Astyanax mexicanus: one gene and its partners. The protein of the gene in region 3 purifies or fractionates together with the protein of the main gene of each other region. This does not show direct contact. Links are inferred from orthologs where the notes say so. Each region holds a gene or a part of one and is shown on either strand. Other genes may lie near its edges. The genes, in order: klhdc3, cul2, ubxn7 and ufd1l.

Evidence for each region.
Region 1: the proteins of ubxn7 (region 3) and klhdc3 purify together in Homo sapiens (affinity purification with mass spectrometry; 3 studies listed by BioGRID and IntAct, with this or other methods). This does not show direct contact. The link is inferred for Astyanax mexicanus from reciprocal best matches to the Homo sapiens genes UBXN7 and KLHDC3.
Region 2: the proteins of ubxn7 (region 3) and cul2 purify together in Homo sapiens (affinity purification with mass spectrometry; 6 studies listed by BioGRID and IntAct, with this or other methods). This does not show direct contact. The link is inferred for Astyanax mexicanus from reciprocal best matches to the Homo sapiens genes UBXN7 and CUL2.
Region 4: the proteins of ubxn7 (region 3) and ufd1l purify together in Homo sapiens (affinity purification with mass spectrometry; 3 studies listed by BioGRID and IntAct, with this or other methods). This does not show direct contact. The link is inferred for Astyanax mexicanus from reciprocal best matches to the Homo sapiens genes UBXN7 and UFD1.

The regions. Positions count from the first base shown.
Region 1 is NC_064414.1:11,024,602-11,031,980, forward strand, and holds the start of klhdc3 (kelch domain-containing protein 3), read left to right. Parts: upstream 1-4,379; 5' UTR 4,380-4,467; intron 4,468-7,379. UniProt on the Homo sapiens protein: Substrate-recognition component of a Cul2-RING (CRL2) E3 ubiquitin-protein ligase complex of the DesCEND (destruction via C-end degrons) pathway, which recognizes a C-degron located at the extreme C terminus of target proteins, leading to their ubiquitination and degradation.
Region 2 is NC_064413.1:45,837,247-45,844,370, forward strand, and holds the start of cul2 (cullin-2), read right to left. Parts: upstream 3,026-7,124; 5' UTR 2,829-3,025; intron 2,353-2,828; exon of another isoform or gene 2,200-2,352; intron 1-2,199. Other genes in the region: rmdn1 (regulator of microtubule dynamics protein 1), read left to right, coding at 5,334-5,444.
Region 3 is NC_064411.1:57,533,937-57,541,026, forward strand, and holds the start of ubxn7 (UBX domain-containing protein 7), read right to left. Parts: upstream 3,013-7,090; 5' UTR 2,976-3,012; coding exon 2,906-2,975; intron 335-2,905; coding exon 175-334; intron 1-174. UniProt on the Homo sapiens protein: Ubiquitin-binding adapter that links a subset of NEDD8-associated cullin ring ligases (CRLs) to the segregase VCP/p97, to regulate turnover of their ubiquitination substrates.
Region 4 is NC_064419.1:34,876,323-34,884,234, forward strand, and holds the start of ufd1l (ubiquitin recognition factor in ER-associated degradation protein 1), read left to right. Parts: upstream 1-4,897; 5' UTR 4,898-5,013; coding exon 5,014-5,016; intron 5,017-5,386; coding exon 5,387-5,519; intron 5,520-6,943; coding exon 6,944-6,976; intron 6,977-7,082; coding exon 7,083-7,204; intron 7,205-7,335; coding exon 7,336-7,466; intron 7,467-7,912. Other genes in the region: cdc45 (cell division control protein 45 homolog), read right to left, coding at 515-634, 743-793, 875-936, 1,352-1,400, 1,524-1,582, 1,685-1,846, 1,952-2,089, 2,818-2,910 and 2 more. UniProt on the Homo sapiens protein: Essential component of the ubiquitin-dependent proteolytic pathway which degrades ubiquitin fusion proteins.

The DNA of each region.
Region 1 (7,379 bases), on a different chromosome or scaffold from region 3:
GCATTAATACATGTTTTTTCATTACAATAAAAAAGCTGACAGATGTTTATCCACTTAATTACAATTGATAATTGATGTTTAGTATTGCTCCTGTTTACCAGTTATTCAAATGTTAAAAAAAACGATTTTCATGGAGTGTAGATGTAAAATGTATTGTGTCTCAAATTAACAGTTTAATTATGATGTGAGCTATTTGTACATGTAGAAGAATCGTATATTATATATAACAAACATATATTGGAAAGCACAATATATATAAGTATTCACAGATATAGTCTGTAGTTTATGTAATATAATAATAATGGATCTAAATATACATTATATTTTATATATAAAACTCTATGTTTATAATCTGTATATTTGCAGTGAATTAACAATATGGAAATACAGTACCAGACTGTAAATTTAATATTAAATATATTAAAGCTATACAGGAACACATGCAGAATTATTTTGTAAACAAAAAGTTTTTAACAAACCAGAATATGTTTTCTACTTTAGATTCTTCTAAGTGGCACATTTATCTTTGAGGACAGATCTGCACACTCTTGGTACTTTAATCTCAGTGTCTTCATGAGGGAGAGTCACCTTGAATAGTTTTATCAGCGTTTGAAGGAGTTTCTGGAGGTGCTGAACAATAGTTGCTGCTTTTCCTTCACACTGTGAAGCACCAGCTCATCCCAAATCACCTCAAATCACCATCTCAGTTCATCAGGTTTATATCAGGGGATTGTGGAGGACAAAAACATATTTTGTTTACTATGTATCCTGTTATTGTTTTTATGTTTTTACTAATAATACATAATAATCTACAATATACAAAAATGATTAAATAACAAAACAGAGAAAAACATTTCTTGAGAAGGTGTGTCCACACTTTTGACTGTTACTGTATATATATAAAATATACTGCATTATAAACATGTTGCATTAGAAGCAGTGAGAGTCAGATCTTATTTATTAATTAATTTGTTTATGGATTTGTTTATGGACAGTACTGTATATCTTTCAGATATACAGACTGCCTCAGTAAGCATGTGTATCTGTAGGAAGGTACTGATCATTAATCAGTAAAGCGTCACACCGGGGGAGAAGGTGTGAGTTCACTGTGAAGCTTCTTCATCAACTCAACAAAAGACTAAACTAACATTAGAGACGCTCCTAATGGCCTTCAGGAGAAAGAGATTCTGATCTTCAGCTCATCAGCAGAGGAGAAAGAGCATCTGCCTTCTGATTAACAGCCCTGTTACAGAGCTTAATCCTCTCCAGCAACACACAGCACTGGGGTGTGCCATATCAAATTGTAATTTTTGGACACAAAATAAAAAAAAACTCCATATTGTAATATTGTGACATTATTGAAAGCCTTAGTTTTGATTAGTTATTATTGATATTTACTGTATTTACTGTGCTTGCTTGTGGTTTATATGCATGTAATAAACATGCTGCACTTTAGATTTGGGGTAGATTTTTGCAGTTAAATTATTGTGCAGCGTATTGTTATTGCATTTTTTATTGTGTTTTTATATTCAGGGTAAGTCAGGGTAAGTTTGCAAAACTGTTTACAAAATGGATAAATGCTTGTAGATTTGTTTATACTGAATATATAAAACATACGTATATTAATAAAACATATTGTTTTTGCAGTAGTATATTATTAAAATAATGTAAAACAAAAATCAATGTTGTGTCATATTCCTGAGAACATTGTTACCTCAAAAATGCCCAATAACAATAATAAAAAAAAACAATAATAATACAATAACAATGAAACTTTATAAAAGCATTTTAACTCCTTTAAAACCTAAAAAAGCTCCTTTTACAGTTTCGCCAGAGCTACTTCATTAGGATTGTATGAGTGACTAGAATAACAGTGCTATCAGAGACAGTTTTTGATAGTATGGGTGTGTCTGAAATGTATGAAATGCTCCCTTCTCAGGGAGGATTCTGAGAAAGAAAGGCACCCAGTCATGCCTGAATCAAAGTTTATTTATCTAGCCTTCTGTTTTATTGGGTAATTTTAATAACAGCTAAGGACAACACAGCTAAACTGTGATAATCAGGCAGTGAATCAAATTCTTGCAGATTAAAAAAAAAACATTTATAAGTTTATTAGAAAATTGCAGATAAAATGCTGATAAAATCATAGTAAAAAACATAAAAATGAAGCATTCAAAAAGAGTTACCAAGAAACAGGCAAGGGTCCAAACCAGGAAGTTTAAAATTAGCATGGCAAAAAACATTTATGTCTGTAATGTTGGCTTACAGTGGCTTAAAATTGTGGCTTACAGTATCTCAGACAATTAGAATATTATATAAGGCTTTAAAGAGCTCTCTCAGTCAAGTCCTTGACAGCATGTTGTGATTCTTCCCAGGACAGGTTTTTTTTATTAACCTGGATATTTTACAGCAGTTCAAGCTTCCCTCTGCTGACAAGGTTTATGCAGTCGCAGGTTAAGGGCGGCCAACGGGGGCCAGTGCCCCTCCAACAACACACTTGGACCCACCCTATTGCCCCCCTAAATTAGGTGTAAATCTCCTCATTTCTGCAAACACGCCACAACAAAGCAGCACACTAATGTAAATACTAATTTTCCAATCTTACTCTTTAGCCAATTTATACTTCTGCATCAAACCTACACCAAAGCCTATGTGTACCCTATGCCATAGCCTGGTGCTCACCTCCCCAGAAATGTAAATACATATTAAACAACCCAGCAGAAGCCCACACCTTCCCGTCTGTGCGTTTTATACTGAGGAGCGACGCAGAGTCATGGACACATGAACACAGAAATATAAATGTGGGTTGCATAGTGTGCTAGTGCAGGCTACGACTTATGCAATGTGTTGACTCACCACAGTATAAGTATAAACCAGTCTTTAGAAACTTTACCGGGTTTCCCTTGTGCAGCACACAGTGTTTCAATTGATTCTTTTGAATATGAAAACTTGAATATGAAAATGCAAATTACCTGTTTCACTCCCGGGTAGTGCTGCAGTTTTTGCACTAAAGCTTGGGTCCTCTATGACAGACTAAGACTAAGTACTCTGAATGTACTTTTCAGTTAAGGACAGCAAAGGCCCTAAAACTGTGAAAATATGGAAACTGAAAACTGTATAAATAAAATGTTGAACGATATTGGATACATTCTTTTTCTTCGTTATGCCTTCAAAGCACTATAGGCTAGAAAGAAATCGGCCCTTCTAACATAATCACTGGCCCTGGACTAACCCCCCACCCCATTTAAAATGGTCTAGAATTGACACTATTTTCTAAGATGCTGACTTTTGGGTTTTCATTAGCTGTAGGCTGTAATCATCAATACTAAAATAAAAGCCACACAAAATAAATCACTCTGTATGTAATAATCTATTTAAAGTTCTTCTTCTGCTAAAATCCACTTTTTCTTGTTCTTTGTAAAATATAGGTCTCTATGAGTTGTATATGCATGCTGCATATGAAACTATTCTTCAACTGCAGTATTCTTCTGTCTGCAGTAGCTAGTAAAAGAAAATGTTTAGATAAACGAGTCGATCATGTAAAGCAATGTGTCTACATCAACTCAAGAGTTCATGGCCTTGGTGGGTCTGAAGAGATGAGAGTGAACACCTAGTATCTCTGCTGCAGATCTATTAGCCAATCAGAGGCGATATGTGTTTGCATGTATGAATATTTATGAGCAATATCCAAAATTCTGTCTGACTTTAGAGACCAATAATTCAGTGAAATAAAGCAGGGCGATACAGAAACACTGGAGCACTTTTTTCACAACAAACGGCTCACATGGCATTCATTCATATTAGGTACCACTTTAAAATAAGACTACCTTTATAAAGGGTTTATAAATGGTTTACAATTAGTTTATTAATGGTTACTTATTAGGTTTTAAATGCCTTAAAAATCATTAATGATCAGTTCACATGATCAGTTCATGATCAACACAAAATTAGAAAGGACAACGATATAGATGGCTGTGGGTTCACTATTTGACAAACAACAGGTCATTGTTGCCCTTTCTAATTATGTGTTATAACTGATTATTAATGATTTTTAAAGCATTTACAACCTAATTAGTAACCATTAATAAACTAACTGTAAACCATTTATAAACCCTTTATAAAGGTAGTCTTATTTTAAAGTGGTACCGAAACCACAACTAGACATTTTAATTATTTATAATTTAATTATTGAAAAAACGATGGAATGAGACCTTTAATATATAGAGTTTCACTTTTATACTGATTGTACGAAATAAATGAACTTTTGTGATTTTTCTACGTTTTTTTGAAGATGCACTTGTTGTCCTTCATATTCCCTATGCCCTATTCCCTAATCCCTACACCCTAGCTGCTATTTTCTAGTGTCCCTAGTCCCTGTATGACCCCTGACCCGCTGGGGGGCGCTTTAGCGCAGCTGCTGCTGGACTCTGCTCCGGTTTTCTGCTCGGGTAGAAGCACATAATGAAGGTAAATGTAAATGTCACCTTTTTATCGAGGAAGATTAAGCTGTAGTTTACATCGTTACAGCGGGAAGTCCTCGGGAAAGCGGCTAATTCGGGTTTTATTCGCTGTGAGATCAGGAATCTGGCCGAGAAATATAGGCTAAGCTATGCTAAGGCAGGAGCTGGAGTGTCAGACAGGCAGGAATACTTCTCTTTAAACTGAGTTAAATCTCAGATAATTCACTAGAGAAGCTGATATTGATAAGAATATTAATCACAGACACTGGGAGTGTGTGTTCAGGCAGTGGGCTGGGCTGTGGGGGGGTTTGAGCAGGAGTATTTGGGGTTGTTTACTATTTAGCCTGTTGATGCTAACGTAGCTAACTAGCTAACCATGGCTAATGTTGGTTTATAGCTATGCGTTTGGAGGCGTTTGTTTCACTGATGTTTTGCTGGTCTGGAGAAAACTGAGGAATTTCTCGCGCTGGCGAGGAGATAGGCTAGTTAAAGTCAGTAACTGACTCAGTTTGAAGCTCTGAGAACATCTAGTTAACGTTAGCTTACTTCAGGTCTGTTTAAGCTAACGCCTAGCTTGGTTAGCATGGCTAAATCAGACAAAATCAGAGGGCAGAGTTCAGCTTTAACATCAGCAAATTCATTCGCCTCTACCTCAGATGGTGCAGAATTTAAGCTGAAATGGCATATGAACCTTCTGTCTAACAGAAGACTAACTGAATTAATATGCAAGTCCACATGAAATCTTTTCCTTCACCATTTAAGGTGGAACTGAAGGTTCTAAGTGTGAGCTGGTTCTCTGAGCTGATAAGGTGAGGAGCTGAATGCTCCAATAGAGTCCAGCAGAGTTTGTGATTTTCCTATTCAAACCAGACATGTATAATCTAAAGTACTAGAGACCCATTTTACCTTGAGTGAATGTACAAGTGCTGTATCAAAAAAGTTGAAGAAAAAAAAAACTTGAGTAGAAGTTGAAATGTTCTTTAAGCTCTACATTTAAGTGAAAGTACTAAAGTATTCAACATTTTTTAAGTATTGCAAGTAGTTTATTGTCAAATGTAGTACTGAAATACTGCATATAAAAGTACAGTACTGTGTTATTAGTGTAGTTATTACAGAAAGCAGTGGAAAGTTCTCAGAGTAAAAGGCAGAACAGGACCTTCGTGGTCTTCTTATAAGATCAGCTTGATCGCTTGATTCACTCAATAATGAGGAGCTATTATAATACAGCATTTTAGTACTTAAGTAAAGTTGTGAAGTAGTTTTTATTCTTTGTTACTATACATCTCTGCCTCAAACACAACATCTAAACCTGGTCACTATCAGCTGATTTGTTAAATCAGGTCTGTTTAAGCAGGAGTAATTGAGAATCACCAAATTTCACAGATTAGAATCTCCAGGGCTGAGGTTCTTCACCCTGCAATACATGCATGACCAGGGCCCAGTTTCCCAAAAGCATCTTATCAATAAGAACATCTTAATCTAAATCAACCCATAGTGACGTGTGTGTGTGTGTGTTTGTGTCGCAGACCCTTTAAAAGCTGTGTACATTTTTTACTTTAACTCATACAGTCCTTAAAGGGATAGTTCGGTATTTTTGACATGAGTCTTTATGGCATCATCATAACCAGTGTCGTGCATCCACACTGACTTACCCCCCACAGCGTCCTGTGAGCCGAGTTCTTGTCCAGTTTAGGTCAAAGCGAAAGTAGTCCGGCATGTTTGCTGGGGTCAGGAAAATAACTCCTTTTTCTTCCCAAAGCAGTACGTGTTCAAAAGAGTGATTTATTTATATCACAAAAAACTAACCATGCAAAAGTCACGCCTCGTAAATCACTTGGGTCCTACTTTCTCTCATTTCGTATCAGTGCGCGTCATTCTGACAGCGAGCTGCGCACGCGTCAACTTGTTTGTGATGCAAGCAGCTGCCCCGCTGACATCCTCATCAATGGATAGGTCTTGCATCTCGGGCATAACTAAGTCCCACTCGTGGCAACAGTAGCATTCCACTTCGGTCTGCATTATTTCGCACTTGAAACAAGTGCACCAGGATTTGTCGGCCACCCTGGGTATCGCAGCTCCAGCAGTGGCTCCAGTTTCATCTTCCACCACTTCTCTGTCCACCCTCTCTCTTTCTGCCCGATCTAATTCCATTTGGCGAAGTTCAACATCTGTATACTCGGGTTCATAAAGATATCCCCGTGGCTCTGAGCGGTGATCAATGTTTTCCTCGTCACTCTCGTAGTCAGACATGTTCTCGAGGCGAGAAGTAAACAAAGCGACCCAAACACGTAGGCTAGCTGTCAGGTTGCAGCGCTGCGCGCATTGATATGGAACGAGAGAAAGTAGGACCCAAGTGATTTACGAGGCGTGACTTTTGCAGGGTTAGTTTTTTGTGATGTAAATAAATCACTCTTTTGAACACGTACTGCTTTGGGAAGAAAAAGGAGTTATTTTCCTGACCCCAGCAAACATGCCGGACTACTTTCGCTTTGACCTAAACTGGACAAGAACTCGGCTCACAGGACGCTGTGGGGGGTAAGTCAGTGTGGATGCACGACACTGGTTATGATGATGCCATACAGACTCATGTCAAAAATACCGAACTATCCCTTTAAGTGACATATACTGGACATCACGAGAGCATTACTACAGAACAGTGTGTAAATGTGTGGTCACGTGACCATAATCTTTGCTTCTGCAGCTCTGTTCTATTAGGTTCCATCCATTTTAGTAATTCAAATGCTTTAACTAAATGTTTTACATTCTACAAAACTAATTTTGACAGATTCTAAAGCAAAATTGTTAAAATACAAGTTTGTTGTATCATTTACATTATGAGAAATTAATTTTTTAAATATTTGAAAATATTTTGCCTATGATAAGAAGCATGTTTTATCTTATGTTTTAACATGGAGAGAG
Region 2 (7,124 bases), on a different chromosome or scaffold from region 3:
TTATTTTATATAAATCTATGGCATGATAATCACTAGCAAGGTTTAAAACTGTGTTTTAAAAAAGTGCACACTCCACTTGTCCGTAGTACGCACTTTACTTGCAGTGCTGTGCAGTGCATAGCCTAATAATTTTTTGTTTGTTTGTTTGTTTGTTTTTGCACATAGACTATAAGCTCAATATAAAAATATTTTGTTAAGATTTATTTTCTTATCTTAAAACATGTTAAATTATATTAGATTAGAATAAAGTCACTCAGAATTAATTCTTGTAGCCTAATTTTGGGCCTGACCTAAGCTCTACCAGATTATCCCAAAAGTATTGAATGGAGCTCCCTCAGTACAGAAAACTCCTCTACAGCCCAGTGAGGATGGCTTTAGAACCGAGGCTTAGCACTGGGGCATAGCGACTCTAGGTTCATATAGGTACATATAAAACCAGCGCATCTACACTTATCAAACAATCAATAGATGACAGATTCACTAACTGAATCTGAATTTTACTTTTAAAGAGGCCAATTCATCATGCAGGGTTCTTGCTCTTTGTTAAAAGTCAAATTGAACGCTTTTTAAGACCTTTTTAGGACCTCAGTAAATATGTTATAAATATTATATTATAAATATTTAAGGCCCAAAAATGTAGTTATAACTTCTTAAGTAGAAAATAATTTATTGTGTTAAAAATTAAAATGTAACGTTTCCCATTTATGATCAATTTTCTTCATCAATTTTGTTCCACTGTGATGCAGAACCTGTTAGCATGTTACTAAGCTCTCCGCTAATGTTAGTGCTTTCCCACTGGCATTAAACGCACCATCTAAAAATGTAATACCTACAGTAAATTTACAGAAATGTTAAGACAATTTAAGAACTAAATTATGCATATTTTAAGGACCTGCGGGAACCCTGTCATGAAATTTGTACACACTAGAATTATTAAATGCAAGGGTCAAATAATGTAAAAAATGTAGAAAAGAATATACAAGTAACAGTGTTTCATTTCTATATAGTATATAAATACACACTTGACTAGTGTTTTTTATCAGAAGTGCAGCAATTAAGCCCTTGCAGAAGAATGCAGATACATTTGTGATAAAATAAATAAATTAAAAGAACACTGCATCATTACCATGCTATTAGCAGTGCTCTGTAGGTGACTGCAAAAGAGCAGTAAAACTCAGTAAACTTACTGCAGGACATTTAGGGCAACATATCTCCTCAAAGGGAGTCAAGACATTTAAGTCTAATTTGGGAAGCCTCTACCAGTTCTGAAAAACTTCAGAACCATGACAACTTTACAACTTTCAATGGAAGTCAATGTAAACACTCTTTATTCCAAGTAGGGAAGCCCCATATATTCACCAACCAAAATCATTCAGCTAAAAAGGCAAAAAGGCACTTTCATTGTTTAGCTGGCTCATTTAAAAAGTTTAGTGTTGAATATATATTTTTTTGTTTTCATAAAAAAAAAACAGGACAATGCATTTTAAAATGCTATTTAAAATATATGAGTACTTTTTTGTCAAAAATTTTAAATGGCTGGTCAAAGATATTTTTAGGATTACAGCTATAGTACATGACATATCACATTTTGGTTTTAAGTAACTTATTGACTTATTTAACCTAGTTAGTTAGCTAAATCTAGCTAACTAGTAAACCTGTAACACAAAATAGCTAGTGTAATGGTATAAATATAACTAACCTACACACCTTTAAATGTTTAAAACCACAACATTTTGGGGAAAATTTGAAATTTGCAGATTGTAAAGCCTCACAGTCCTACAGTAAAACTACAGAGCAAACTTTAGAGCACCATCATGTCTTACAGCTAGGGCTAGGCATCTTCAAAAGCATTTCTATCGGTCTGTTTATTAGTGAAACTCGACACAACGTAGAAAACTGTCAGATTAACATTGTCATAAAGTGAAAAATGGTAGATAAAAGATGTTTTTAAGATTACAGCTAAGGTTACAATATATGAAATATCTGTTATCACATTTTGGGCTTAAGTATTGACTTATTTAACCTAGCTAAATAGTTAACTAAATCTAGCTAGGATAACGTTAAGCCAACCAGTAACTTTTAAGCCAATATAACTTGTGCAATAGTATAAGTTAAATATAATTAAGCTAGTTACACACCAAGTATTAAAAGCACAACATTTCAGGGTAAAATTGATTTGAGCAGATTTTGAAGTCTTACAGTCTTACAGTAGAACTACAGAGCAAACTTCAGACCACCACCATGTCTTACAGCTAGGGCTAAGTAAGTAGCCAGCCAGCCAGCAGATTGATGAACTCCATTTGTGGCTATATTAAGGAAGGCTCGTTATACAGTTAGTTAACGCTGGTTATATGAGTTTTCTGTGAAGCTTTATAAGCCGACAGTTGGGTAATTACCCGGATTTACCCGTTGGGATTTAAACCCGTTTACTTATAAAAACACAGTCACGAGCCTAACAGTACGGAGGCCTAGCTAGTTAGCCGGATAGCCGCTTCAGCTAGTCTGACATTTCAGTGATTTCGGTTTTGTTTAGGGAGCTGGAGCTGGAGTTTAGTGGAGGTAAAGACTGAGACAGGCCCAAAACAAGGAAGCTACTCCCCAAGTAAAGTTACTGGACCGTCCTTTTAGTCAGAGCGCTGAAATCCGAACTCTAACCGAACCGAAACAGCAGCTAGTCGGCTAAACCCGAGCGAGCCTCCGATCCAGAGAGGAGCTCCAGCCCGCAGCTCCTCCTCCCGCAGCCCCGACACCCGGCCCCGGCTCGCCCGCGCCCTAAACACGCGGATAAAGGCGCGGTTCTGGGTGTGTAGCTGAGTGTCGGTGGTTACCTCGGGGTTCAGGGTCAGTGCGCTCGGTTTCAGTGAAGTTCCCCCGCTGTCAGAAAGCCCGATTCTCTCTCTCAGACCTGCTCCATCGCAGCAGCAGCAGCAGAGGAGGACAGCACAACTCCATCAGCTGGAGGGATGTCAGACTCCACACACACTGCGGAACTGGGAAAAAGCTGTAAAACACACACCAGGAACCTGTAATAATTTTAAGTTAACTACAAAGCTGATGTACAGAGTGTTAAATATCCCTTCTGTGTAAGAACAGACAGATTTAACAATATTTCGCTATTAAAACTCCCCCATTTCGAGTTGGTTTTGTCCAAAACTACGGAATCCAGCTCAGGACAGTTCACCTTCGCGCACACCGCTCTGCTCCGAGGCCGACCTGAGGTGCATGACGTCAATCATCAAAAAACTGAGAAGAAATGAGCAAATACAGGTGCATCTCAAAAAAATAGAATATTGTTGAAAAGTTACTTTATTTCAGTAATTCAGTTCAAAATGTGTGTTTATTTCTTTATGGTTGATGATTATGGTTTACCCAATTGGTACTTACCCACTTGTGGGCAGTGTGCCAAGTCCTGCTGGAAAATGAAATGTTGTCAGCAGAGGGAAGCATGAAGTGCTGTAGAATTTTCCAGGAAAACACTGCACTGACTTTTGACTTGATATAACACAGTGGACCAACACCAGCAGATTGAGACATGACTTTCCAAATCATCACTGATTGTGGAAACTTCACACTAGACCTCAAGCAGCTTAGACTGTGTGCCTCTCCACTATTCCAGACTTTGCTCCCTTGATTTCCAAATGAAATGCTAAATTTACTGATGATCAGTGATGGTTGGAAGGACTTCACTGTCATACCCACTGTTAATTCCCCCTGAACATTTAAGAACTGTGTGCACTTATTCCCTTTGTCAGCCTTAAGCAATTATACCACTATATTTGCACTACTGTTATACGGGTTCTGTTTATACTTGTACTGTCATTTCCTCTTTAATCTCCCCCTCACGACTATTGCACTATTGTCTTGTGTCTTTTTGCCTCTGTGTCCTTGTTGTATTGTACATATAGAGTCTCCCATTATTTTATATTTATAATCTTATTTTCTGAACTTTCTGTAACTTTTGGGAAGGAGAGTAACGTAATTTCAATTCTTTGTATGTCCTCTACATATGCAGTATTGACAATAAAACTACTTGACTTGATTTGCTTCCCTCTACTGACAATTATGGAAATGCAGATTTTATATTCTAGCAGGGCTTGGCACACTGCCTACACTGCCAAAAGTACCAATTGGTCTTATATAATATTTTAATTTTCTGAGACACTGATTTTTGGATTTTTATTGGCTGTAAGCCATAATCATTATCATCAATAATAAAATATCACTCTGTGTGTACAATTTAATTGGAATGCTCTTATTGAAAATATTCACTGAGGTAAAGGATGATGGAATCCTTTTATATAAGGTGTATAAAACAAAGTAAAAGAAATACACTTAAATATCCCCCATGCAATTCTCTAATAAATATATAATAAGATATAAACAATATTTTACATTTTGAGGTAACTGTGATAAAAACCTGGCTTATCTTTTTTTTATTGTAATACGGTCTTTAACTTTTAGAAAAAATTACCATTTGTTTCTCCTATGCGAATGCAAATATTTCTTTTTTTTTTTTACTTCAAAACACAAGTTGTTACATTGAATTAAAAAAAACAAACAAATCTCTTGAAACTGCTGTTAATTGTTTATTCTTTCGGCACAGAATTAAATGTGCCGAAAAAGTCTAAAGAATATACCCACATTTATTATTTTTGGAATATCAGAATATATAATAATTAGTAGAATATTTCATAAAAAGCCTTAGAATTGTTAAAAAAAAATATATGGTAACATATATGTATGTGTGTGAGAGAGAGAGGTGATCCCCATTGTCTACACTCTATATCTGACAGTTTACAGGCTCTGAAACACACACAGCTCCAGATTAAATGTAATATATTAATAATACACAGAATAAAGGTGTGAATTTCTCTCAGAGCGGAGAGAAACCGAGCACTTCTTCCGCATCATTATGCGTGTCGTCAGCGGATATTACGAACCGACAGACCAAAACAAATGTTGTGGGTTGCCAGGTGTAGATAAACCCCCGAGCTACACTCCAGGTTTTAACACAAATTACATTAGCTTAAAACGCAATTTAAACTTGTTATGTGCATACATACATACACAGTACCAGTAAAACGTTTGACCACCTCTTCTTATTCAATGTTTTTCTCTATATCCACTATTAAAATCTTTAATAATCTTCTTAATCCTTAAGAAAAAGAAAGTATTAGAGAAGAGGGTTTGTAGAGGATCTGGCAGCCCCGGCTCTGACGCTGTGTGGTATACAGCGCTCGGGTTACACGGCGCTTCGCCCGCTCTCAGGTTCACTTCCATTCAGCCCGTCTGATAGTGGAGGTCGCTGAGCTGGGGGTCAGTGGAGCTGCAGAATGGCCTCTGTAGCTGCGGTCCGGGCGGGTTTCAGAGCCGCGGGGAGGGAGCTGAAGAGCCGGGTCAGCGGGCAGCAGCAGCTCGGGCCCTTCCGGAGGATCTCAACTCGTGTAACTAAGAATTTATCTTGATCTTAAACCTCTCTGATCTTACAGCTGTTCACCTGTGATTCTCTTATGATATTACCTGTGATTTGTCTCTTAAATTACCTGTGACACTAACTGATATCATAGCTGTTTACCTGTAATTTGTCTCAGTTATTACCTGTGATACTCCTCTAATATTTCCATTTGATTCTCCTCTGATAGCATAGCTATTCACCTGTGTTACTCCCCTGATATCATACCTGTTTACCTGTGAAACTCCTGATATTAACTGCGATACTCCTCTAAAACCATAGTTGCTTAACTGTGATTTTCCTCTGATATCATAGTTGTTCACCTGTAATACTCCTCTTATATCATATAGCTGTTCACCTGTGTTACCACTTTGATATTAGAGCTGTTTACCTGATAACATAGCTGTTTACCTTTGATACTCCTCTAAACCATATCTGTTTACCTGTGATTTTACACTGATATCATAGCTGTTTACCTGTGATTCTCATCTGATATTATGTCTGATGCTCCTCTGATACTCTGATATTACCTGTGATACTCCTCCTCTATCATAGCTGTTCACCTGTGATACTTATCTGATATCATAGCGGTTCACCTGTGATACTCCTCTGATATCTTAGCGGTTCACCTCTAGTACACCTCTGATATCATAGCTGTTTACCTGTGATTCTCATCTGATATTATGTCTGATGCTCCTCTGATACTCTGATATTACCTGTGATACTCCTCCTCTATCATAGTGGTTCACCTGTGATACTTCTCTATCATAGCTGTTCAACTGTGATACTCCTCTGATATCATAGCTGTTCACCTGTTATACTCCTCTGATATCATAGCTGTTCACCTGTTATACTCCTCTGATATCATAGCTGTTCACCTGTTATACTCCTCTGATATCATAGCTGTTCACCTGTGATACTTATCTGATATCATAGCGGTTCACCTGTGATACTCCTCTGATATCATAGCTGTTCACCTGTGGTACTTCTTCTCTATCATAGCTGTTCACCTGTGATACTTCTCTGATATCATAGCTGTTCACCTGTTATACTCCTCTGATATCATAGCTGTTTACCTGTGATACTCCTCTAAACCATAGCTGTTTACCTGTGATTTTACACTGATATCATAGCTGTTTACCTGTGATACTCCTCTGATATTATAGCTGTTTACCTGTGAGACTCCTATATTACATTTGATACTCCTCTGATATTATAGCTAGTGTTTTACTATGTGAAACAGTAGATTATTCTGAGCATGATCTTTCCAGCTGCAAACTAACTAGTTACAGGACTTGTTACAGAGTAGCTTCAGTGTTTTTCTGCGCACCTATAGTTATAAATGTACAGTGGACCAGTCAGCCCCCAGCAGCAGTGGGTTATATCTGCACTCTGAACTGCACTAGCTAGTAGATTAGTAGATCTAGGGGAAAGAGCACAGAGCCTCTGACAGGAGCATGATTTACCCAACACTGTAAAAAGTTGCTTAAAGTCCATATGCTAAAAGTGCAGGGTAAAACACTTTAAACACTTGCATTGTTGTACACTCTATTCACAGTGGATACGTCTGGTGACATATGTGTGCTGTGCAAAAAAGCTGTGGAAGTTTACTTACAGCACACTGTCCTTCACTCTAACTCATTAAGTCTCTTAGTGACACATACTGAACATC
Region 3 (7,090 bases):
ATATCGAAACCGAACCGATACTGTGGCTCAAGAACCGCGATACGAACCGAACCGTGGCAACACTGTACCGTTGCATCCCTATAATTAAGGCTTATTTATGTTACATCCTTCTTATTTCAGTATCATAAAACTAATAATAACAGTAGTAATATCTCCTCTCAGTCAGTATCTCACTCTGCTGTGTGTTGGTGTCTGCTGCCCGAGGCGATGGCTGAGCTGGTGCTGGTGCTGGGTTCCTCAGGGATTCCTCCTCCATCCAGAAACATGGTGACCGCCATCTCCAGGTTATTATTACATGCCTCCAGCATGTGCCTCCCCACGCTCTCTGTAGCTCCTGAACACAGAGAAAAACACAAAAATACAGAAAACACACTGATCAGATTCTTGTTTAAATTCTGGGGAACGTTTTACATACTAATAATTCTCAGTTTAGCCATCTGGAGTCTTAAAATAACCAATAATCAACATAACACATAAGGAATCATGTAGTAAACTTGGCTGGTAACTCTGATTAACTTATCCTGTACAACAGAGTACTCACGCTCTCGCTCTTCCTTTCCTGGGGCAATCCTGATGAGTGCCAGTTTCATCATAATGTTTTTGATGGTGTTTGTGGTGGACTGAACCTTTAAAAGTTCTTGAAATTCTTCTTTTTGGATCGACTGGTCTTTATTTTTCATTTTTTTCTTTACTTAGTTGAGTAGTTTAGTTTAGTGCTTCTCATAACCTGGATTCGAACATTACTCAAATACTCACTGTATACCTGTAACTCTACCTCTTCACTACTTTCCTTTAACTGATGCTCTCAAACACTTTATTAAGAGACAAGAAATTCAAGTAATTAACTCTTGATGAGTTCAGCACAGCTGTTAACTGATAAAAATTTAAGAAAGAACTTGTGTAAAATTAGTGCAACCCAGCCATGGTCCTTTATGTCCTTTGGGGGGGGGTGTTTTACTGATGAAAAAAAGTATTTTATTAAGCACACTAATTCTATATATTTTTTGTGGGTAACTGTACTTTAGTATAATGAGAATGAGAAAACTGCATTTCCCCATTTTTCCATTTTTTTTGTTTTAAGCGAGGTAAACACTGTGTCGCTAATGCTCAGGAGTTCAGAAGGTAGATTACTTTTCATTTATATTGAAATTTGAAATATGAAGTAACACACACACACACACAGTTGCTATTAAAAAAAAAGAATGACAAAAAAAAAGCAATTATTGGCCAATACTGATTTAATTCTGATATCATCATTCATTAAAAAAACAGAACATTAATAAAACAAATAAAATAATAAAACTAATATAAAATATAATAATTTATTTAAGGTATTTTTTATAGATTTCATCACATCTTTAATGTGTTGAGAAAACATTTCTTCATTTTTTTGTTTTTAGTGAGGAAAACACTGCGTTGCTACAGCTCAGAAGTTCAGAAGATAGATTACTTTATATTTATACTGTAATATATATATAGGCTACTCACCTCTCACTCACTCTCTCATATTTAGCAGTTACAAAATACTCTCCACAAAGAGAAGAAAGCTGTAATTTCATTTAAAAACCATACTAAAACCAAACCTGGAGAAGCTCTGATTATGACTGATCTCCAACTTTCCAGTAGAGAAACTGCATTTCTTATTAAATTATCAGGTTAAATGAAACGAAAGAATCAACATACAAGAAACAGGTCAGCAAGTACCAATACCGATATAATTCTGATATCATCGTGCATTCATTAATAAATTATAATTAAAAAAAACTAATAATTTACACAAAGATTGTATTTTTATAAGAGTACAAAAAGCACAAATTCTATTAGAAACTTGGGGAATTCTGCTTTGATATAATGAGAAAACCTGCATTTCTCCATTTTAGCGAAGTAAACACTGTGTTGCTACTGCTCAGAAGTTCAGACGGTAAAGTACTTCATATTTATACTGTAATATAAATAGTTTACTCACCTCTCACTCACTCTCTCGTGTTAAGCAGTTACAAAATACTCTCCACAAGGAGAAGAAAGCTGTAACTTAATTTAAAAAACATACTAAAACCAAACCTGGAGAAGCTCTGATTATGACTGATCTCTAACTTTCCAGTAGATAAACTGCATTTCTGATTAAATTATCAGGTTAAATAAAACGATAGAATCAACATACAAGAAACAGGTCAGCAAGTACCAATACCGATATAATTCTGATATCATCGTGCACTGTCTCACTACAGCTCAGAAGTTCAGAAGGTAGAGTACTTCATATTTATACTGTAATATAAATAGTTTACTCACTCTCTCACTCATTCTCTCATGTTTAGCAGTTACAAAATACTCTCCATAAGGAGAAGAAAGCTGTAACTTCATTTAAAAACATACAAAAACTATTTATTGTTTATTAAAAACACCTATTTTATTAAAAGTAGGAACAGCACTGCTTGTGTACAGATTTCTGCGGGTAAATAAGCTTTAATAGGCTGAACTGCAGCCCGGAGAGGCTCTGATTATCACTGATCTCCAACTTTACAGCAGATAAACTGCATTTCTCCTTTTTTCTCCAGTTCAGGCTGCAGATCTGCAGCTTTAAATTAAAGCAGGGGTTAATTTTACCCCCTCCGACTCAGCTGTACTGCAGTTTAATCTGTATTAATCTGTAAAAAATACTGTAAATACTGTGTTTATTCACTATATAATGTATAATAACTGTACTCTGCACTGTGTGTTTGTGTGGGTTAGCTGGTTAGCTTAGCTGTGCTAAGCTACTTAGCATGTTAGCATTAGCCTGCTGCAGGGAACCGGAGCGCAGCGGCGGCTCGGCGGCCCGTACCCCGCGCCCTGCGGCTCCTAGCCCCGCGGGGACCCCGCTGCCCCGCGCCGGAGCCCCGCGGCGGCCGGTAACCCGGTTATTTACCTGTAATCGCGGTAAACTGCTGGATTAACCCCTTCAGACCCGGCGCTGCTGCATCTCCGAGCGCCGCCATCTCACTGTCAACAACCCAAACACGCGCATGCGCGCAGCCGGCCAATCACAAGCCCTATCTGAGACACGGTGGCGTTCGTCACGGCAGGGGGATTGTGGGTAATGTAGTGAAGAACTGTAAAGAAATTGCAGTTTAGGTGCTTTTTTTTACTTTAGGAAGCTGTTAACTTGTAGTTTTTGAGGCTGATAAATGATCCTTCTTGATCCATACTTTCCTGGGGTGGTCCTGATGAGTGCCAGTTTCATCATTCTTTTCATCGTTTTTTGATGGTGAGGATACTTTCAAAGTTCTTGAATTTTTACATGAATTCTTTCATGTAAAATTCGGATTAACTGACATTTGACATTTTTTCTTAAAGTATTTTTTTCTTAGCTAAGTTGAGTATTTCTTGCCATAATGTGGATTCGAACATTACTCAAACAAATAGGGCTATTTGCTGTATATCAACTCCACCACTTCACAGTAACAAACTAGAGGACGGTGATAAATCCTGCAAATAACATTTGGAGTTATGTATAGGCCATTTATCCTATTTATCATCTGACCAACAACATTTAACCCAAACATACATATTTATGTATTATTGATAAATACCTTTAATGTGGTAAATATTTTATCCATAAAATCAAATTTACAAATAAAAAATAATAATAATCTGACCTTTGGCTTATTTATTATATTATTAAATTATAATAATATAATATTAAATTATATTTAATTCAATATATACCATGTAAAAAACAGAAATAAGTTGCTTCCTCATATCAGATGAGAAATAAGACCATGTCTGTCTGTCTGTCTCTCTGTCTGTCTATCTATCTATCTATCTATCTATCTATCTATCTATCTTCACAGTAACATACTACATTTCGTTTTTCCGCCACTCACTCAATCACTCACTGCTGTTTATTTTTTCTGTCTGCTTACAGTCTATGGTAATACATTTTTACAAATAATGCAACTTATTATTAAAATTCCAACACTTACTTGACTGTAGAATATATTTAATTATTATGAACACAAATAAATAAATAGACAAATAAATATAAGTGCTGTCAATAACAATGTTAACACATAAATGTACTAATAAATAATAAATTAATAATCTTCTGACTTTGGCCCAAAGTCCTGCTGTAATTCACTCTTTCTTTACACATTTGCCATTTTTAGTAAAGTAAATACTGTGACTACTGTTCAGCAGTATAGACAGTAAACTACTTTTATTATACAGCATTTTAGTTTATTAAATCACCCATGCAAGTCAAAAATGAATTTAGAAAAACATTAAAACATTAAAGCTCTAAAATGTGAATTCTACATTCCTACAAAATCATAGGGACTTTTTTTAAAACAATTCTGTCATCCTATTAATACCTATAGTAATCTATTTTAAGTTGTGAAGAACCCTTACTCACTCACTCATGTTTAGCAGTTAATTTTATACTTCTGCAGAGTAATATAAAAGTAGTGCTCTGTGCACTGTGTGTAATAAATTGGTTACACCATATTATATGATTATAGGATTGGATGTTTTACATATATATATTGGATAATATTACATATATTAAATACAGTATTATAAAATTAGAAATGACAGTCACGGCAAACAAATATGATCACTTTTCAAATTAAGTTTATTATTCCGTTGTTTATAATACATTCAGTTCAAAACAGTCAAACCGAGCACTTGTAAAACAATAAAAAATAAAATAATATAATAAAAGTCTGGAAAAAACACTAATCGAACAGATCTTAAATACAACTGGTGTGTTTGAGGAAGGAACGGCCTGCGATGTTTTAGTTGTATTAACGTAGATCCTTGAAAAAAAAAATAAAACAATTTTAAGGACTAGCTTTTGCGCAAAACATGCTAATGTAACACCTTAGCAGCCACCAATTAGCATGACGTCACTGGTACAATTACCATATTTCGCAAATTAGTGGCTACATTATAGCATTTGCAAAAAAAAAAAGGCCCAAACTATTCTTTTAAAGATCAAAACTGCATTAATTCTTATAGTTAAACGATCCAGCGCAACCATTCATCACCCAGCTCATTTCCTTTAATCAATTTAACGGGGACTTTTAACTTATTCGCTAAAGACCCTCCAGCTTAATTTTTTTATTTTTTATTTTTTTTACAATTTCCAAAATAAAAGTTCTTGTATGTATATGCCCATTTTGACCTTTATCAACACCCGCTCACATTTTTTGGCTATTAAATATTTTTAAAAGCTACAATTTGTACATTTTAAACATCTAAATAATACGCAAATTCAGTAATCTTTTGGTTAAAATCGCATTAATGAATAATACTGATTTTAAACCGTTTTAATCGATGAATAGAGAACAGTTTTCTGTTTTTTTGTTTTGTTTTTTCAATTTAAAGAAAAATCTGGCTTTTAAATACAGATGTCTTAACGAACCAGAACAGCTTAATCCTGATTTAAAACATCTTTAAAATAATTATTGTAGCTTTTAAATTTGATTTAAAGTGATTATTTTGACCTAATTATTAGTTTTACTCAAGCTGGAGTTAGCTTTCCACACAAATTATCCGTTCCACCTTAAATGCAGGCGCCAGAATGTAAGCTCGGCAGAATTTAAGGTGGAAAAGATAATTCGTGTGAGAAGCTAACGATGCTAACAACTTCCAAATCGTTTAATTTAGGTAAAAAATAGAAAATGTTCGATTCATTCAACCTTCAATTAAGACTCAACAGCTGAACAAATAAGAAAACGACCAAAAAACCTGGTTAAATCCACTCAAACACCACAAAAGTGTGTGTTTTTAGCGTTTTAGCTTTGCGTTAGCTAGCTAGCTAACTAGCTACGATTCAACCGTCGATTAAAACGCTCACCACGCGATTATTCGGGTGATTTTAATTATCTAGCTAAATTCTCAGCCATGCAAAGTGAGCGCAGCCTTAATAAAACACCTGCTTTATACACTTTTCCACCTTTTTCCAGCTCAAAAACTCTTAAATCTCATAGAGAGGTTACTGAAAAATAAATTAATAAAAATAATACCCTCTTTTCTGATCTGGTACCAAACTAAAACAACATATTTATGCTTAGGGCTGGCCCAAATCGTGCAATCAGTCGAATATTCGGTTGTAATTTACAACTAAATTAATTATTTTAGTTCATTCGCACCCTTATTTAACACCACTTTACTATTATAGGGCTCATCCTATAGTTCTTGAAAGAGTTTAAGAGAATTAGGAGAAAATTCAGAATCTACTAAGTTCATATATGAAAACCAAACTGTAATAAAAAGTCATGTTTTGAATCTATATAAAATCGCCAAATCGAGGTCTGATGCATTTTTAGGTTTAATACATTTTTGACTAGGAATTTAAATGTATGCTTTCTCAAGATATCGTTTATTAATTTTATGTGTTTGCCTGTAAAATCTGACTTTAATTCATTTATGTCATTTTTGTTGGTCAAGTCACACCTTAAGTTTTGACACACATCATTTGATCATTTGATATGCATTTTATGCCTGCAAAAATCTGACTTTAAATTTGATGTGCATTTTTTTTTTTGTAAAATTTAATGCACATTTTTGATCTTTAAAAATCACACTTTAAATTCTGACGCACATCATTTGTCTGTTTAAATCCGACTTTAAATTTTGCTATGCATTTTTTTGTTGGTATAAATTTGACTTTAAATTTTAATGAACATTTTTTTGTCTGTAAAAATCTGATTTTAAATTTTGACACATTTTTCAGGTCTGTAAAAATCTAACTCAGTGTAAAAAGGCCTAAATACATTAATATCATTAATCATTAATATGATTTTTGAGTGAAATTTTTGACGTGCATTTCTTTGGCAACTATAACATTTCTGACTTAGTGTAAAAAGGCCTAAATACATCGTCACCAACACTTAATATGATTTTTGGGTGGTTTTAACAACGAAAAAATTAAACACGATTCGGGCCAGCCCTAATTCTGTTGTGTGCTAACACAAAGCATATGTGTGTGTGTGTAAGTGTGTGTGCGAGTGAGTGATTGAGTGCATTTAAATATTTCCCTTATAGAGTAATGTAACATCACACTCTGCAGGGTCGCTACCCTTAGCTAAAAATAAAGAATAATGAAGCC
Region 4 (7,912 bases), on a different chromosome or scaffold from region 3:
TCTATATGACGCCCCCCTTGATCCCGAGGTTTCTTCCGCAACTATTAATCAGAAACTATTAGGAGTTGTGGAGTACCACTGGGTTCTATTGTTTGGCATATAAAACTGATGTTATTAATTATAGAACTGTAGTTACAGGGATGAGGAACTGAAGTGTGAGCTGACAAACATGCTCTAATTAGTTACGCACAAACAATTCTAAAGTTACATAAATTACAGATTAAAAACATCAAAGCATAATTTGTTAATATTTTTGAGCATGAAGCAAATTTTCTGATGTTATCTGGCGTACCAACTTGGGACGCTTGCTGAACCCCAGGTGTGAGAACCACTGGATTTGAATAATTATTTTCCTTGTAACATTGAAGCTGCACCATCCTGTAATATTTCTTGAATCGCTCTTGTACACTCTGCTTTTGGAGTTCGTTTTTACACTCCTTTGTGCAAAACAATGTTTCCAATCTTACCCCACCAAGATTCATGACTGCATTTTTCACAATACTGAACAGGATACTCATATTCGAAGGAGATCCTCATACAGTCGATAGAGAGAGAGTTCTCCTCATCCTCATTGCGATGGTTATGACGAGAGACATGCCTCTGCAGAGTAGCAATGTCTGTTACGTACTTCATACTGAAAAAGAGGAAGGTATACACCACCCGTTACATTTTAAGAAAAATATGCCAAATAAACTGTGAAAAGGGGAATACATAAGAATTAAAAAAAAAAAAAAATCCTTACTGGGTGATTTTATCATGAACCCACTGATCAGTTAGACCAATAATACTCCACCTGTCAAATACACAAGAGTCACAATCCCATTTCTATAGAATGAATACTGATGTATTAGTCTTTAGTTGTCCAAACACCTACCAAAGCATATCTTTCGTGTCTTTGGTCATAACCCAGGCCAGCTCAAACATAACCATAGAAGCCTAGAAAAAAGACAAAATAATTAAGGCACTCAAACACTAAGACATAATCCCAATATTTAACAGCCCAATGTTTACCCACATCAACAAAAAACAATCACTGTTTTATAAAGCAAAACATAAAAAAAAATATTTTAATGGTTTTTTTTTTTTAATCCCATTTTTCTCCAGTTTTATTATGCTGATTACCCCACTCACTTAGCTGCACCACCCCAAAACTAGGAGGATAAAGGTACCAACAGCAAGCATGAACCTTTTCGGGCATGTTAACAATTAATTGAACCAATTTGGATGGACAGAGAGAAGCATGTTTTGAAGAAAAAAAAAAAAAGGTACAATGAATTTTATCTATATTGCTAACATCAACATATTAGTAAAATCCTAGTCAAGCCATCATATCATAGATGTGAATACTCACCGAAGTTCCGTGATACTCATACTGCTCGTAGTCAAACAGAATCTCCCGCCTGCAAACACACAGGACCATTAGGAGGTTACAAGCATGTTTGTATAAAAATAGCATTATGAACTGGACTACTTGACCAGTAATAGATATATGGCATTTATTCAGTCAACTCAGCATAACTGACCTGCGAGCTTCCCACTCCCTCTTTGCACGCTGCCTTTCGATTCTCCTCTCCAACGCACCCTGAAATAATAAAGGTAAAACTGAAAATCATTAGAATGGGAAGGAATTACAAATATGGGAACACATTTCTTCAGTGACTGGGTCCAGAAGAAGAAAACCTGCCTCGTCAAACCGCCGCCGTTTACCAGATGGCTCAGACCCGCCATCGCTTTCATTCCCAGAATCCCCTCCATCACCGTCCTCATCCTCATCTTCGTCATCACGGAAAATGTCATCATACGAGGGCACTCCAAGATCATCATCTTGTTTAATCAGCAGCTTAATCTAAAGCAACAATACATTTTAATGACATAATTTAAGATCCATAAAACACAGATTAGAAAAAGCAATTTAATAAAATTCTATTAAAACAAACAAAAGAAGGAGCACCTGGGTGTCATTGTAAACATTGACAACATCAACAGGCCTGTGGGTATCACAAATGAAGAAGACAGAGTCCTCTTCAGGCTGTAAAGTCTCAAGCAGGTCCACGTTTGCCCCGCAGTTAATTAGGACAAAATACTGGTACTGTAAAGAGAGAGAAAACATTTAAAACAACATACAGTACCCTTAATGTTAATGACTATTTAAAGATGTTCACAATGTTGACTGACATTTTGACATGCATCAGTAACTACATGAGAAAAACAAAACAATACAAACAAATAATCATATACTGTCAGATACTAAGTAAAGGGTCTGTGAAATTGTGAATGTCCTTCTAGAATGACCAAAGTGATCTACCTATCTAGGCCTGTCAAAATTTCTATTGCGATAAACAATGCTAAAAATTGTAATTTTAAGACTATTTAATTGTCACTAAAATAATGATAACAGAATAACAAACCAAGTATACTCTTATTACTCCACAAACTTATTACTACAAATTTAAACATTTCTTATTTATAATCTAATTTAACAAATTTATGCTGCAAATTTTATTTTATTTATATAATGTTTACTTAAAATTATAATCAAATTTATTATAAATCTCTCCTTATGTTCAAATAAAGTGATTTTGAATTGAATGTACATTTATTGTAAAATAAGTTGATAATGTAATTATCGTGAGAGGCCTGTATCTACCTTATCTATCGATCTATGCTTAGAAAAATGTATTGTGTAGCTAGTTTTTTGTTTTGTTTTCTTAATACAATAGAATAGTCATGTGACATAGGTAAGTTATGTTTTCTCTACGTAGAACATGTGTACACCTAGCTAACGTTAGCTAACAATAACTAACACTGTTAAGTTACCTGTTCCTTATGTTCCAGGAAAGCAGTGCCAAGGTCCTGCCAGCCTGTCACAGGAACAAGAGTGTACTGGACATGATCACAGTGAAACAAGGCCTAGAAAAAAACGATAGGGTTAAAATGAGATAAATTGACTTTAACTGTTTAACTACCTTTAACTACCTCGGATCTACACAAGGAATTTATCCCGACTAGTGAACCTGGTTATTTAGGCTTGTTACTTATGAGCTGAAAGACACTAACCTGCAGTATTTTACAGGCACACAGCGCGTCAATATCCGCGGACACAAGCAGGGCCACTCGCTTAAACACAAAAACATATTAAAAATTAGACATTAATGTACCTAAATACACATATAAACTAACTCACACACCACAGAATTCAGCGAGTCAACGTCAAAAAAGGGTAGATAGTTAGCTAGGTAAGGTACAATCACGGTCGCCCGGCTAACACTGCATAGCTAGTTTAACTAGCCACCGGGTTAAACTCGACTAAACTCTTTTATAACACGTTAAAACGAGAAACGCCTCACCTGATTAACCACAACATCATAAAACTCTTTCCTAATATCGGTAACAAACATCCTAAAATCTCAAAAACACATAAAAATCCCCTCAGTCCCGCTGCAGGCTCGGTAAATCAGCTTGTTTTGCTAATTCTCGCGACTTTCCGTCCAGAAACTCTGGCGCCAAATTCGTTCATACAAGAGGAGGCGGGCTTTGTCGCAGTGTCCAATCAGGTGACAGCTGTTACATCTTGTCAAATCTGCAAGCCCTAACCAATCAGATTCACTCCCTGAGTTAAAGGAGGCGGGTCGCACAGATTGTCAAACCAATCACTAAACTGCTCGTATTTAATGGCTCAAGGTGACATTTTGTACTCGATTTTATTTTATTTTATTTTTTTACGCAGCATCGTTGAAACAGATACAGATATTTGTTACGACAAATATAATGAGTGATGTTTTATGCTTTTGTTTAATTTATTTACAATATTGCATACATATTTGTTAACGCAGTGTTAGTCAGTGTCAGTGTTAGTTTAAAGAGAGCCAGTATGTAGAGAGCCTGGCCACTTCTTATCGCCCTATTTTAATCTGATTATTGGTACGAACCGCTAGAGGGAGCCAGCGAACGAGACCTCAATGGACGTAGAAAAATATAGCTAAACGGCTAAAAACTCAAATTACGTATAGTAATTAACTACCTTTCCAATATGTTTCCGTTCATTTTAAAAAGTAAAATAAAGTATTGTTTTACAGAAAATTGGATTTAAGCAGTAAAGGCCCTAGCATTGCTGCTACTGAGTGCTGACTGGTGAGTTGCTGAGATGATGCTGAAGTATCAGGCAGAGCAGGTTTAAAGGCTTATAACTGGATTTTAAAGCTTTAAAAGTATATATATATATATATATATATATATATATATATATATATATATATATATATATATATATATATTTATATATATATATACTTTTAAAGCTTTATATATTTTATATGTTTGCTTAAAGCACGTGTTCACATACCATATATATCCAATAAAAATAAACGAAAGTAAATAAACAAACAGCAACAAAAAATATGGGATTCTAATAAAACTTAAATATGCTTAAATATCGTTTATCGTTTTAACTTTAATGTCTTTGCTGTGAATTTTACTTATTAAATCTGATGATCATTTTAGGGAAATTATCAGCACAATTTAAAATTATTTGGTAAAGGTAATCAATTTTAAGTGTATTTCTTGTTGAATTTATTTTATTTATGGAGTCTCTGTTCTATGAACATGAATGTATATGAAGTATATGAAGTTATGAGCTATGAAGTTATGAAGTTATTAGTTAAATTTGTTAGTTGATTAATTAGATGTGATGTTAAGATAAATGTTTTGCTCAGTTTATTGGTTTTATGGTTGTTTGTTTTATTTTGTATTTCCAATTTGTGTATAATATATAAATAGTATATAAAATGTATAAAATATAAATAATAAATATAAAATGAGCTTCTGTTTGGAGTAATTTGATGACGGCATGGCGTTGCAGTGATCTGATTGGGCGGAGGTGTTTTGTTGTGGGGAGGCGTCACATCCTGTATACTCAGCGTTTCCCTGGGAAGAGGATAGTAGTGTGTTTTTGTACAGTAGCGTTAGTCTGATTTCTGCAGTATTTCTGAGAGAAGTAAAGCGTATTCAGACAACATGGTGGGTGTTGGAAGCTTTGCCACGTTTGTAGCTGATGAATGCGGGTGGTGTGCTGGTTTAAATAGTTAGTTGTGTGTGTTAAAGAGCCGGTAAATCTACGCTAGGCTAGCGACTAAAGCTGCACTGTCACTGTCAGCCCTTTTGTTTTTGTGTTCTCAGTTGAAGCTGCTCTGTAGTTTTACTGGGTTTGGTGAAACCGGGTGTTCAGTATTTTAGTTTCAGGGTGTAGTTGAAGATATGAGGTTCCGTAGCTGTTAGTTGTTGTGTGTAATATTATAGGGGTGAATGTAATCTAGCGAGGTTAGTCGGTAAGGCCTGAGATCAGCCCATCATTTCGCTAATCTGCTTTATATTGTTTTTACGTTTTCAGTTTTCCTTCAACATGTTTGATCACCCGATGCCTCGGGCCTTCCAGAACCGCTTCTCCACACAGTACCGCTGCTACTCGGTGTCGATGCTGGCGGGACCCAATGACCGCTCAGACGTGGAAAAAGGAGGAAAAAGTATTACATTTACAGTGTTTTTGTGTGATGATTCTTTAAGACATGATACTATATTCTGTGTCTTATTGTAGCGAATGTTTCAAAAGAATTCACATTCATTACTCAAGTAGAAATATAGATACTAGGGTTTAAATACTTCTGTAGAAGTTAATTAGTATCTCCAGCTGGCAAACAACCGACCTTCAACGGTAAAATGTGGCTGAAATATGGTTGAAGTAACGTCTGTTTTAACATTTAATGTTAAGTGGTTGTGAAAACGTTAAAATTTACACGTCGAATCAACATAATGTCCTTAACCTTCTGCCTTTTGAATTAGCATTTTACATTTCATCACTATATAAAAAAAAAGGATGGAAGGATGAAAAAGTGGTTTTGCTTCCATTTGCAGTAATTGCTTTTTAATTTGGCATCAATTCTTCGCCATACCTGGGGAAATGAGTATGTTCTATTAGTCTTACTGTTGTGTTTTTGAGATTAGACGTTTAATCTGATTGATAGTGGTGGGTAACATCCTTTTTACTCAGCTTTAGTGCAGTGATGTAAGTTTATAGTTCACTATAAACTATAGTTAACCATAGAATTTTCTAGTTTTTATGAGCTATGGTTTATGAAAGGTTGAATGTACACGCCATATCAACGTTGATTCACTTTTCAAAATCAACACCAAATCCAAGGTTGATTCAACCATAACATTAATGTTGATTCAATGTTGAAATGCCAGCTGGGATCAACTCAAGCTTTTTACTAAAAGTAAACGTGTAAAAAGAACTGAATTCAAAACTACTTAAAAGTATGAAAATAAAAGTAACATAAGGGGGAAAATGCATTAAGGACAAAAGCTTAGGCTGTGCCAACAGGGGCTTATAGTGCAGAACCCCATGTGGGTATGTCTTAGAATAGAGCTCCAAATAATGTGTTCCTGTATATCTTTATTTCCTTCACAATTACATGGTACAGTAATCTGTTGTGTTTGTGCACTTTTGGAGACACAGAGAACTGTGAATGGGCCCATTATCCTTCTCACATTGTGTGTCTGTCCCCAGCACTTTGTGTATTGTGGTGGCACTGCAGATATTTGGAGTTTTGAAATGACATTATGGAACCTGTACGTTTTGTCCATGGGTTCCATGTTGGCCTCACATATTAATGTTAGTGATGGGGCAAGGAGGGTCTAAACATGAGCTCCACCTGGGTTGTACACTGCACATGGGGCCTACTCATGTGATATTAATGAATCTAATCATGATTGATAACAACAAGAATAACATTTATTATATGGTATTTTTATATATCAGTTGACACAGTATAGGCATAGGTGTGTGTGTGTGTGTGTTTTATGTATATCCAGCGTAGGCTTAGATGGGCTACTGTCTCTTGATTGTACTCCTCTTGAGTGTGTAATACTCTCTTCCTTCTCTTGCCAGTTATAATGCCCCCATCAGCACTGGACCAGCTTAGTAAGTTCATAAGTTAATACTGTTTTCTAATACGAGACCACTGTACCACTGTAGTTGTATGAAATGATATGATGTACTGAATAAAACCTTCCTTATCCTTAAACAGGCAGACTTAACATCACATACCCCATGCTGTTCAAACTCACCAATAAGAACTCAGACAGAATGACCCATTGTGGTGTCCTGGAGTTTGTTGCTGATGAAGGGATCTGCTACCTTCCCCACTGGGTAATAAACTAAAACAAACACTTATTATTCTTGACATTATAGCCGAAGAGTGTAGTATTTTGTAGGTGCGTAAACTACTGTGTGTTGTTTTTCTTCTGATCCGTGAACTTAATATTGTCTTTGTCCCACAGATGATGCAGAACCTGTTATTGGAAGAAGGAGGTTTGGTCCAGGTTGAGAGTGTCAATCTCATGGTGGCAACTTACTCCAAATTTCAGCCTCAGAGTCCAGACTTCTTGGACATCACAAACCCTAAAGCTGTGTAAGTAATCCAGTGTAACAACATACTGCACTCAATAGCTAAGCTGTAAAGGAAATTAAAGGGGCACCAACAAAGCATGTAGAGTCTCTGTCGCTACATCTTTCTTAAACATGACCGCATATCTTTTTACTGCAGTAATATTGTGGAGAATGAAAAGGAAGCCTTTTTTGTTTGAAGACCCTGATGAAAACCCACTTTTTATTATGTATCCTGAAAGTGTGAGGACCCATTACAAGCATATTAAAGCAGATAATCAAGGGCAGGCTTTGTGAAATGTGCCCCACTCAGCTATCCAGTACTTTAGCAGATAGCTAACATTTACTACTGGGATACTGAATATCACTTCTGTATACAGCTCTGGAAAAAATAAGAGACCACTTAAAAATGATGAGTTTCCTTAATTTTACCAAATTGAAAATCTATTGAATATAATCAAGAGGAAGATG